Linked DNA regions of Caenorhabditis elegans. The protein of the gene in region 1 purifies or fractionates together with the protein of each later gene. This does not show direct contact. Each region holds a gene or a part of one and is shown on either strand. Other genes may lie near its edges.

Evidence for each region.
Region 2: the proteins of sad-1 (region 1) and Y20F4.8 fractionate together in Caenorhabditis elegans (co-fractionation; one large-scale study listed by BioGRID). This does not show direct contact.

What each region holds. Positions count from the first base shown.
Region 1 is NC_003284.9:13,497,403-13,502,529, forward strand, and holds the start of sad-1 (Serine/threonine kinase SAD-1), read right to left. Parts: upstream 3,261-5,127; 5' UTR 3,151-3,260; coding exon 3,133-3,150; intron 1-3,132. UniProt on the Caenorhabditis elegans protein: Regulates both neuronal polarity and synaptic organization when bound to strd-1. Kinase activity is required for the establishment, but not the maintenance, of both processes.
Region 2 is NC_003279.8:2,048,505-2,052,051, forward strand, and holds Y20F4.8 (DUF5641 domain-containing protein), read right to left. Parts: upstream 1,674-3,547; coding exon 636-1,673; downstream 1-635.

The DNA.
Region 1 (5,127 bases):
AGTTTGGATCAAAGGGACGGTGATATATTTTTCACTAGTATTGAGTGGGCGACACAAGTTTTCAGAGGTCAAGCTATTTCTTGCGGACCTCCATTGATGTCGGCTGCGCATAAATTTTTGCATGCGGCTAAAAACTCGTGCAAAATGGAAAATTGAAAACCGAAAACCGAAAACCGAAAACACCAAAAAATTTAAGTTTGATATACAATGTTAATGCAAAACTTGCCAGTCTACCCTAGTGCAGTCTGGTACCAATGCACATTTGTACCTGGTGAGATAATCTGACATAAATCAAAATTTCTCAAAGTAGCGTTTACCTGAGAATGTTTGAATCAGCGTTTTATGATGTTTCTGTGTCACACTGATCAAATATCATTAAAATCTAAAAATCATTTCCCCTTTGAGCCAACTTCAAAGTTTTCAGAAAACAACATTTTGAACCGCCATAAACATTTTTTTTAATTTTCCAAAAGGCATCGTTACAAATTGGGTGTTTTGGAATTTTTTTCAATATAATATCGAGCAAATTCTAACTCTACCATTGCAATCAAGTGCTCCAAATCATTGCCGATCAAGAAGTCAAAATTTACGATAACTAAGAAAGGTTTAGGTTTTTCAAAAAAAAAAACTTTAAAATTAACTAATAGAAGCTTAATCAGGATAAAACCAAACAGAAATACTTTTCTACATTCGAAAATTCTTCAAAAATTATGAGATTTGAAAATTCGACACTTTAGAATAGAAACGGTGAACAGTAACAAACATCTTGGTAAAAGTTTTAGATAAACAATGGGTAGAAATAAATTTTCATACGAAGATATATTTTGAACAAAAAAACCGTACAAAACAGGCGATTTTACCCAAGATGAGTCAAGACGGTGCTCCGATTTTCAGTCCAATTTTGGTATGACAAAAAGATAAACTTACAAAGCAAGGTTCGCTGGGAATAGGAGCCGGAAAGCTAGTATAATAAGAGTCCATTCTCGGTTTCCTCCCTCATTCAATTCTCAAGGACGTCAAGTAGAAGATGAAAAGGGTGAGAAGCACCGTTGGCACACCGGAGGCACTTTGAGAAAAAGAGGCGAAGATGTATTAGAGGGAGGAAACGAGGAAAAAAATGGGGGGGGGGGAGGAGGAAGAGGTATCCGTATCCTTTTCAATTTCTTCACTGACTTTGTTCGTCTTAATATTGATTCGGTTCGTTGTCTGTGCAACAGAGCTGCCGAAGCTCGAATGGGCTTAGAATAGTGTGTTGTATACGGCTCGCTTTCGTTTTCTCCTTGCGAATGTCAGTTCATCCGTTTCGTTTTTTTTCTTCCCTTTTTCCCCCCACGCTCTTTGTCTTTTTCTCTCACCTCATCCCCCGATGGTTTTTGTAGTGGGTGGTGGTGCCAAAATTGGAAGAGAATTAAAGACAAAATGATGTGGCGTCAATGAGAAAACGTATTAACTGGGGGATTCAAGAGAGGTTTTTTCTTATAAAAAATGTTTAGCAGCAGAGGAGCACTAGGAAACAGAGAAAAGTAGTTCGGAAATTTTGTGAAAATGCTCAGATTACTTTTCTCTGACAGTTTTCCCCAAAAAAAACCCGCCAAAGTGTTCACGTACCTCTAGACAATCGTCAAATCATTTAATGTCTGTAAATTCTCACTTGGAACAATTTCACGACTCTTAAGTATGAAACAATGCAATGGAAATATTTCATACTGGTTTTTACATATTATATCATTACTTATTATACAGAAATTGCGAAACATTTTTGAAATCAAGAACTCGAAAGGCTTTGGCAAAATGATACAATAAAGAGCCAAAGCCGAGGGGATGGGGGCTCTCTGACTCAGAGGGGTGGCTCAAATTCAATTTCGGGATTCCGAGATTCGTGGATTCAGATTCAAATTCGGACTTTCATTTTTCGTTTTTCCAATTTCATCTATTTCCTCTTCTTGGAATACACTCAAACAAATAACAGAAAACAATATGATTTAGAATTGAGGAGAAAAAAAGATAGGTTGGTTAATTTTGAATTATTCTCAATGGAACTATCAAATCTAGCTCTTACGCTTCAATAATATAGATTTTTTTACAGGAAAATATTTTGATTGTGTATATTAAGCCAGGTGGAAAGAACAAGGAAGACGTCACTGACGTTAGCGGTCTGACGCGTTTTGAGTACAAATTTCTATTTAAAAACTTGTTTTGGCGATTTTCAAAAAAGTCCTCAAAAGGTTTTATTTCAAAAGCCATAATCAAAAGTATTTTAAGAAATAGGCATAAAAGCATAAAACCATGTGAAATATTAACAAAAAATGTATAACACTCAAAAAGATTTTGTTATTGTTATTTTTTAATGTTATTTTTAAAAAAACTCACAGCATTTTTGCCAATATTGTCTATAATTATTATGAACGTTTCTGAGAACTTGGATATCAGGCTTTTTCCCAATCGAAAACTGATAATGATTAAAACCACCAAAAAATAAAACAAAAATCGTACGCTTTAAATGTAATCTCAACTAGAAATCTACCAAAACCGCTCCCAATCCTATCATTAAAATGCCTCTGAAATGGGCGAAAGTGGACAAGTAGGACGTGACTGAATAATGTAGTTTTGCCTGCCTCCCCCCAAATTCAAGTTAAAAAGAGCATGACGATGGAGCAAATGCTCCAGACTATTCCCAATGCGGATTAAGCGGGGCTCAGGCGGCTTCCTTTGCACCCAGAAACACGTGGAATCAAAAGTCGACTGGACGTCATTACGGCGAAATGAATGGATTATTAGAATTGAGGGACAGAATGTGAGAAAATCAAATGATTAATAAAGTTACGCATTTACCAAAATTTGAACTATATTCAAAATTTTCAATACAGTGTTCTTTTTTTTTGGAAAACTATTAATTTAGAAGATAATTATCTTTTTGAATTGTCAATTGCATAATATTAATGAACCGTGCATTAAAATTATTAATAACTATTAAGTAATCATTAAGGGTATTAAGTGATCAGTACTTTTCAAGTTTTTTTAAAATTGTACAATTTAACAAAGTCTGAGTCTTTTTAAACTTTAAAAAAAGTGACATCACATTTGATCATAATTTAGAACAACCCACTCAATCAGAAAAAAATCTGTACTCACCTTGAGAGCTTCAAACATGTGCAGACTTTGCCCGATTGACGAGCGCAGTCATGCGGCTAAGTTTTAAGCTTCCTTGGATTCCAAACGGGGATTTTTTTTGATTCTGCTCCTGAGCAGCTTTCCTGGTTCTGAAATCTATAGTGTTGATTTCCGTTTATGGTACAAATGTTGGAAGTGACGTTGAGAGAACGATTCAAATGCGAGAAAAACCCAACTTGTCATATTTCAATGAATTGGCAGGAATTTAGCAGTACACAATGCACACAGAGCACAGCTCTTTGCACTGCTACTGCCCTGGGGAGTACTCACTAAAAAAAGTGAGAGATGCACAGGCTTCGAGAGAATCAGAAAGGGCCCGTTAAGAGGGATGGGATAGGAAAAAGAAGTCCATCCATCCCCCCAGTGGTCCTGACAAAAAAAGGATCAATAAAAAATTGGAGAAGAGGAATCGGAAGGAAATCTAGTGGAGTGCTTCGCAAGAATTGTTAGTTTTCCAGATATAGTAAATGCCAACAACGTAGTCTTGGTTATGGTTTTTATACCGTATTTTTTTCTGGAGCAATACTTATTCTGGATGCCTAGGGAACGCAATTACATTAGAGAATGCAAAATAATTTCTGAAGGCCATTGAATAAAATATGTATAATATAATTAAAATCCTAATATATCTGATGCGACAAATTGAGGAAAAGAACTTTGAGAAAATATTTTTTAATAATGAAAGTTCAGAAAAAAAATACTGAAAACGATCTATACGAGAATTTTCTTTCGTATTTGTTAAAATTTGATACGAACCGATTTCAACTGTAAATATGGAACTCTTTTTAATTAAAAAAAAACGTACTTCAAAATTTGCGAGAATGTAAAATTCTGAACCTTCAGTTATTATCGCTGAGTTTTTTATACGTTTTAAAATTTTAGGTATCCTGATTCATGTAAGACCGCTGAAAATAAAGTTTCAGCCCCGAGATTTCAATTCAGTTAATAGGAGAATGCAATACTGATAGGAAAAATAATAGAAAGTGATTACCAAAATTGTGTTAAATTATCAAAAAAGGTGGAGTACCGAAATCTGCGACTTTAAACCAAAAATGCCCCAAAACTACCGAATTATGTAATAAGAAATTTTGAAAAGTACTCATAAAAAGTTATCACGTTTCAAAATTCTGGAAATCAAAGCTCATGTTCGACTAAAATCAAATATTTTGCCAACTTCTTGGTGTCACAGCGTCTGGAATTTAATTTTTATCAATTACCACTATTTCATAAACATTGTGTCCAAATTTCCAAAATGTTGAAAAATATGAGCTTTTTACTAAATTCAAAGCAATGTCGCATGTTCCTACCCCTACAATGTTTTATTACAATTTATTTGAACAAAGTATAAAATACGTAGGAAAAATTTTTCCTTCGTCGACTTCTAAAATTATGAGTGGCAAAACTGAGTAATTGCCTCTTTTTGACAGTTAATAAAAAATTTTCAAAATTTATTTGAAAAGTTTTATGATGATATTTGGTCATTTTGGGTCCATAGAAAGTAGTTTTTAACAATTTACCCACTGGCGCTACTCCACTTTTAATATATTTCACGTTGGAACAGTCTTCTTAATTTTCTAGAATAGAGTCTCAACTAGTTAAGTATTTTCTGAGTGCACATTGCACCCATCAAAATTCTCATTGCGTGTCATAATTTTCAGGTTCATTACTTTTCTTCAACTTTTAAAACTCATTCAATGTTCATTGCTCTTTAACCAGACAATGAAATTAGGCAATAAAACTTGTGAAAAAAAACAAACTACTAAGGAAATTAGAACGTGAAAGAACAACAAAAAAAAAGAGAGAAAAAGAAGAAAAAATTTGGAGAAGTGGCTCCAGGGGGCTAGCGTGGTCGCGCAACGCTGCCTGCCTACTCAATAGCACGGACGATAAGCCGTTGTGGGAGTGAAGACGAAGAAGGCTTGGGCTCTTTTCTCACTCTCAATTTGGCATGCTCAT
Region 2 (3,547 bases), on another chromosome or scaffold:
CACTTTGTCAGTATAAGAGACACGTAAGCATGCGAGCAATATTTTGTAAGCATAAGATCACGTAAGCATTAGAGCACGCGTAAGAGTTAGAGTGGTAAGAGTTAGAGAACGTACTATTGGGAGTATTTGCCTTGGGCTCAAATAAGCCATACAAAGTGCTGAACTATGAAGAATAATGCTTCAACATTACATTACTTACAAAAAATCAGGTTGAAAGCAATATTTACTGTCGTTCGCCATAATGAGACGACGAATCTTACAGCTCCTCGACTTGGATCCAACTCCAGAAGCGGGATCCCCAGTGAAATCAATAACTTCAGAACGATTTAGCCTTCCGCATTTTCATTTATTGAATTACTATTTGGTTTGATACAATAAAGTGTTGAGATACAATAAAGTGCAAATTGATGAGCATGATAGCAATCCAGGTGAACATATTAGTGAAGTGATGTTGATGAGGAAATAGAGAGACCGGAGTAAAACTCCCTACATACCCCTAGGTGGGTTCTGCGGGAGGAATGAATAGTTTGAGAAATTGAAGGATGATAAAACAAGAAGAGAGCAAATTAACAATAAATTTTTGGCGGGTAAAGGAACAAATTGTACACAAAAGGGAATTACTGGCAGGTCAAAATTTAATATTTAAACCTAACGTTTTGCCGCATTTCTGTCGATGCAAATGCGCTCCGCCGCACTCGATTATCGATTTCTTCCTTCTTTCCTTCGCGTAGAGCTGTTCTGCGCGACACTCCAGGGAAAGAAAACTCTCTGAATTTGGCTGGAATTCTGAGAGGTCTTGTTTTTGCAGCTCTTTTCAGGTGTGCACGTCCATCTTCTCGCTCCTCTTCTGGATCCTTGTCAACATTCACATCCTGTTCTTCGGTCACTGCGCCTTCCTTCGGAATATCTTCTTCTGGATTTTTAGCCGTTCCCGCTTCCTGCTCATCGGCCGCATCCACGTCCTCGACTGCCACGTCATCGTCTGGCCCTTCCTCTTCCTGAGCAACTTGAATTCGAATTCCCGTATTCTCCAGTGGAATCAGCAGATTCACTGGTTTCTCGACAATTCTCTTTCCCATTTTTACCATCACAGATTGCACCTCTCCATCTGGATTTTTCCTGTTCAGCTCCACGATCCTCGCCATTGGCCATGCATAACGCGGTAGCAATTTCTGGAATACCAAAACCACTTGACCAATTTCAGGTTTCAGCCTCGACGTCGCCTTCTTATGATGCTCCACATCTCTCAATGCTGCTATATATGACTTGCTGAACTCCTTCCATAGCTGTTCCTTGATAATTCTGAGTTTCTCCATCAACTGTCTCGTCAACTTTCCACTTTCTCCACCTTGTATCGCTTCGAATATCGATTTGTGATGTTCTGGCCGTGTCAGTTGAGCATTATACGATATGAAATCTGCTGGTCGAATCGCTGGAGCATCGTCCGGATCTTTCTTGTTTGGTGTTATTGGCCTTGAATTAATTATTCCTTCTGTTTCAATTACCAGCGTTTCCAGCTCCAAAATCGTAACAACTTGTTTCCCAAGGACTTTGTACAGGACATTTTTGATTAGCGCAACTAATCTTTCACACGGTATCACAAAAACTAGATCTCTCGTAAAATTTGAGAAAGATCTCGCAGGTACGCAGTGAAATGGTCCGCAATGTGTCATCGCGGTGTTTGCGTACTTGCGTACCGTAGTCCGCAAAACATTGCAGCGGCAAATAGATTTTTGAAGCAAATTTTAGCAGAAAAAAGGCAGAATTAATAGTTTCAAGGTGAAAAAAAAAATAAAAAATAGATTTTATTATTCAATTTAGTAGCTAACAATTGAGAATTGAATTATTGAAACACAGAAAAATTAATTTTGAACAGTAAAACAAAGAAATAATCGAAACGGAAGATTGAAAATTGAAAAATACATACAAATCGATTCAAAAAACGAATTTAATATGTGGAATCAGCCTCCTTCTTCGCTTTACGGATGCAAGTTGAAATTTTTCTTGGTAAAACTTTCGAAAATAAGGAAACCCGGTGAAATTTCTTAATTGCCTCGACTCCTGGTGAACTTTTTGAGATAAATCCATCGAAATTTTGCTGAGTAGCTCATTGACAAGGTTTCAATCTGAAATTTCATAAAATCAATTATTTTCGAATAATTTTAATCCCAACAAACCGAAGGAAATCCTGAATTTTAGCTTTTCGATAGAATCCTAAGGTGTCACATCGACAATTTTCCAAGTTGAAAGAAACCATGTGGAGCATCTCCGCTTATAATATCCTCGACAAAATATTGATGAGAAATCCATCAAATTTGCACCGAGTATCTGCTTGTCAATGTTTTTACCTGAAATTTAATGAAATTAATAATTTTTTAATAATTTTAAGCACAACTAACCATAGAAAATCCCGAATTTTATGATATTGAGGAAATCCCGAAATTTTAATTGCGAAAAGGTTCAGAATTGTGTGAGGGAGAGCGCTGGGTGGTTTATTGGGAAGACGAGGCGTCCTGCAAAGAAAATGTTACGATTTGTTTTTTTGAAAGGTTCCACTTACTTCCTCCATATCAGAAATTAGATTGCTACATGACAGCTCCTTAGCAATGTACAGGTATCTTTTCCCTGTGTTTCTAACCGAGTGGAAGCGTCTTTCGAGGCGATTGAAAACGGCATGAAGCGATTCGATTCCTTGCTCCGAAAGCCTTCCCAAATTCCTTTCCGTTTTTGCGACTTCTACTACGTGAGCAACCAGGACATGCAATTTTTGAGTGATTGATTCTTCTGGGTGGGCAGCTTGTAGGAATTCAACGAATTCCTTCATCGACTCATCCAATTCGCTGATGTCATCGTCAGAGAGCAATCGATTGGCCGACAATGACATGATTTTGGACAGCCTGCTCATCGCGTTCTTGACATTCAGAAGCATCGGAGTCATGTGGTTTTTCAGATTTTTGAATGCAGCTGTGACACCTTTCTCAGACAAAATCAGCTTCGTGTGATTTCCAGTGTACATTTGAAACCACGCTCGGCGTGTTGCACCAACTTCTTCCAGATCATTCTCAAATTGTTTAAGATATCCACCAGCAAGTCCATCCAGCGTCTCGTCCAATAACACTTTTTCTTCTTTCAGAGCAGTAAACTGTGCTTTCATCTCTCTTTTTCTCTTAAGTGGTGAAGCTTCGAATTTTTTGTTCGCGTCTTGAATCTTCAAATCGGCAACTCTTTTTGTCTCTTCTTTATTTCTTCGAATTTCAAATGATGTTTTATTGTCTAAACTCACAACGGCCATCCAAATCGGCTCAAAGATGTATTTCGTGAACAGTCCGACAATCAAGTGTAGCATTGCAGGCAAGTAGTGTTCCAACTTGACATTTTGAAGAATTGGTCCACTTCCGCATCTGACGCCAAAGCTACCGTATTTAGAATTGAGCTTGTAAGAATTCATTGTTTTCAAGAAATATATCTTTTGCAAGTTCAGATCTTTAAGCTTTTGCATCAGTCCTCCTCTTGGATTGGTTTCGAAACAAAACGGGCAAAAATAGGT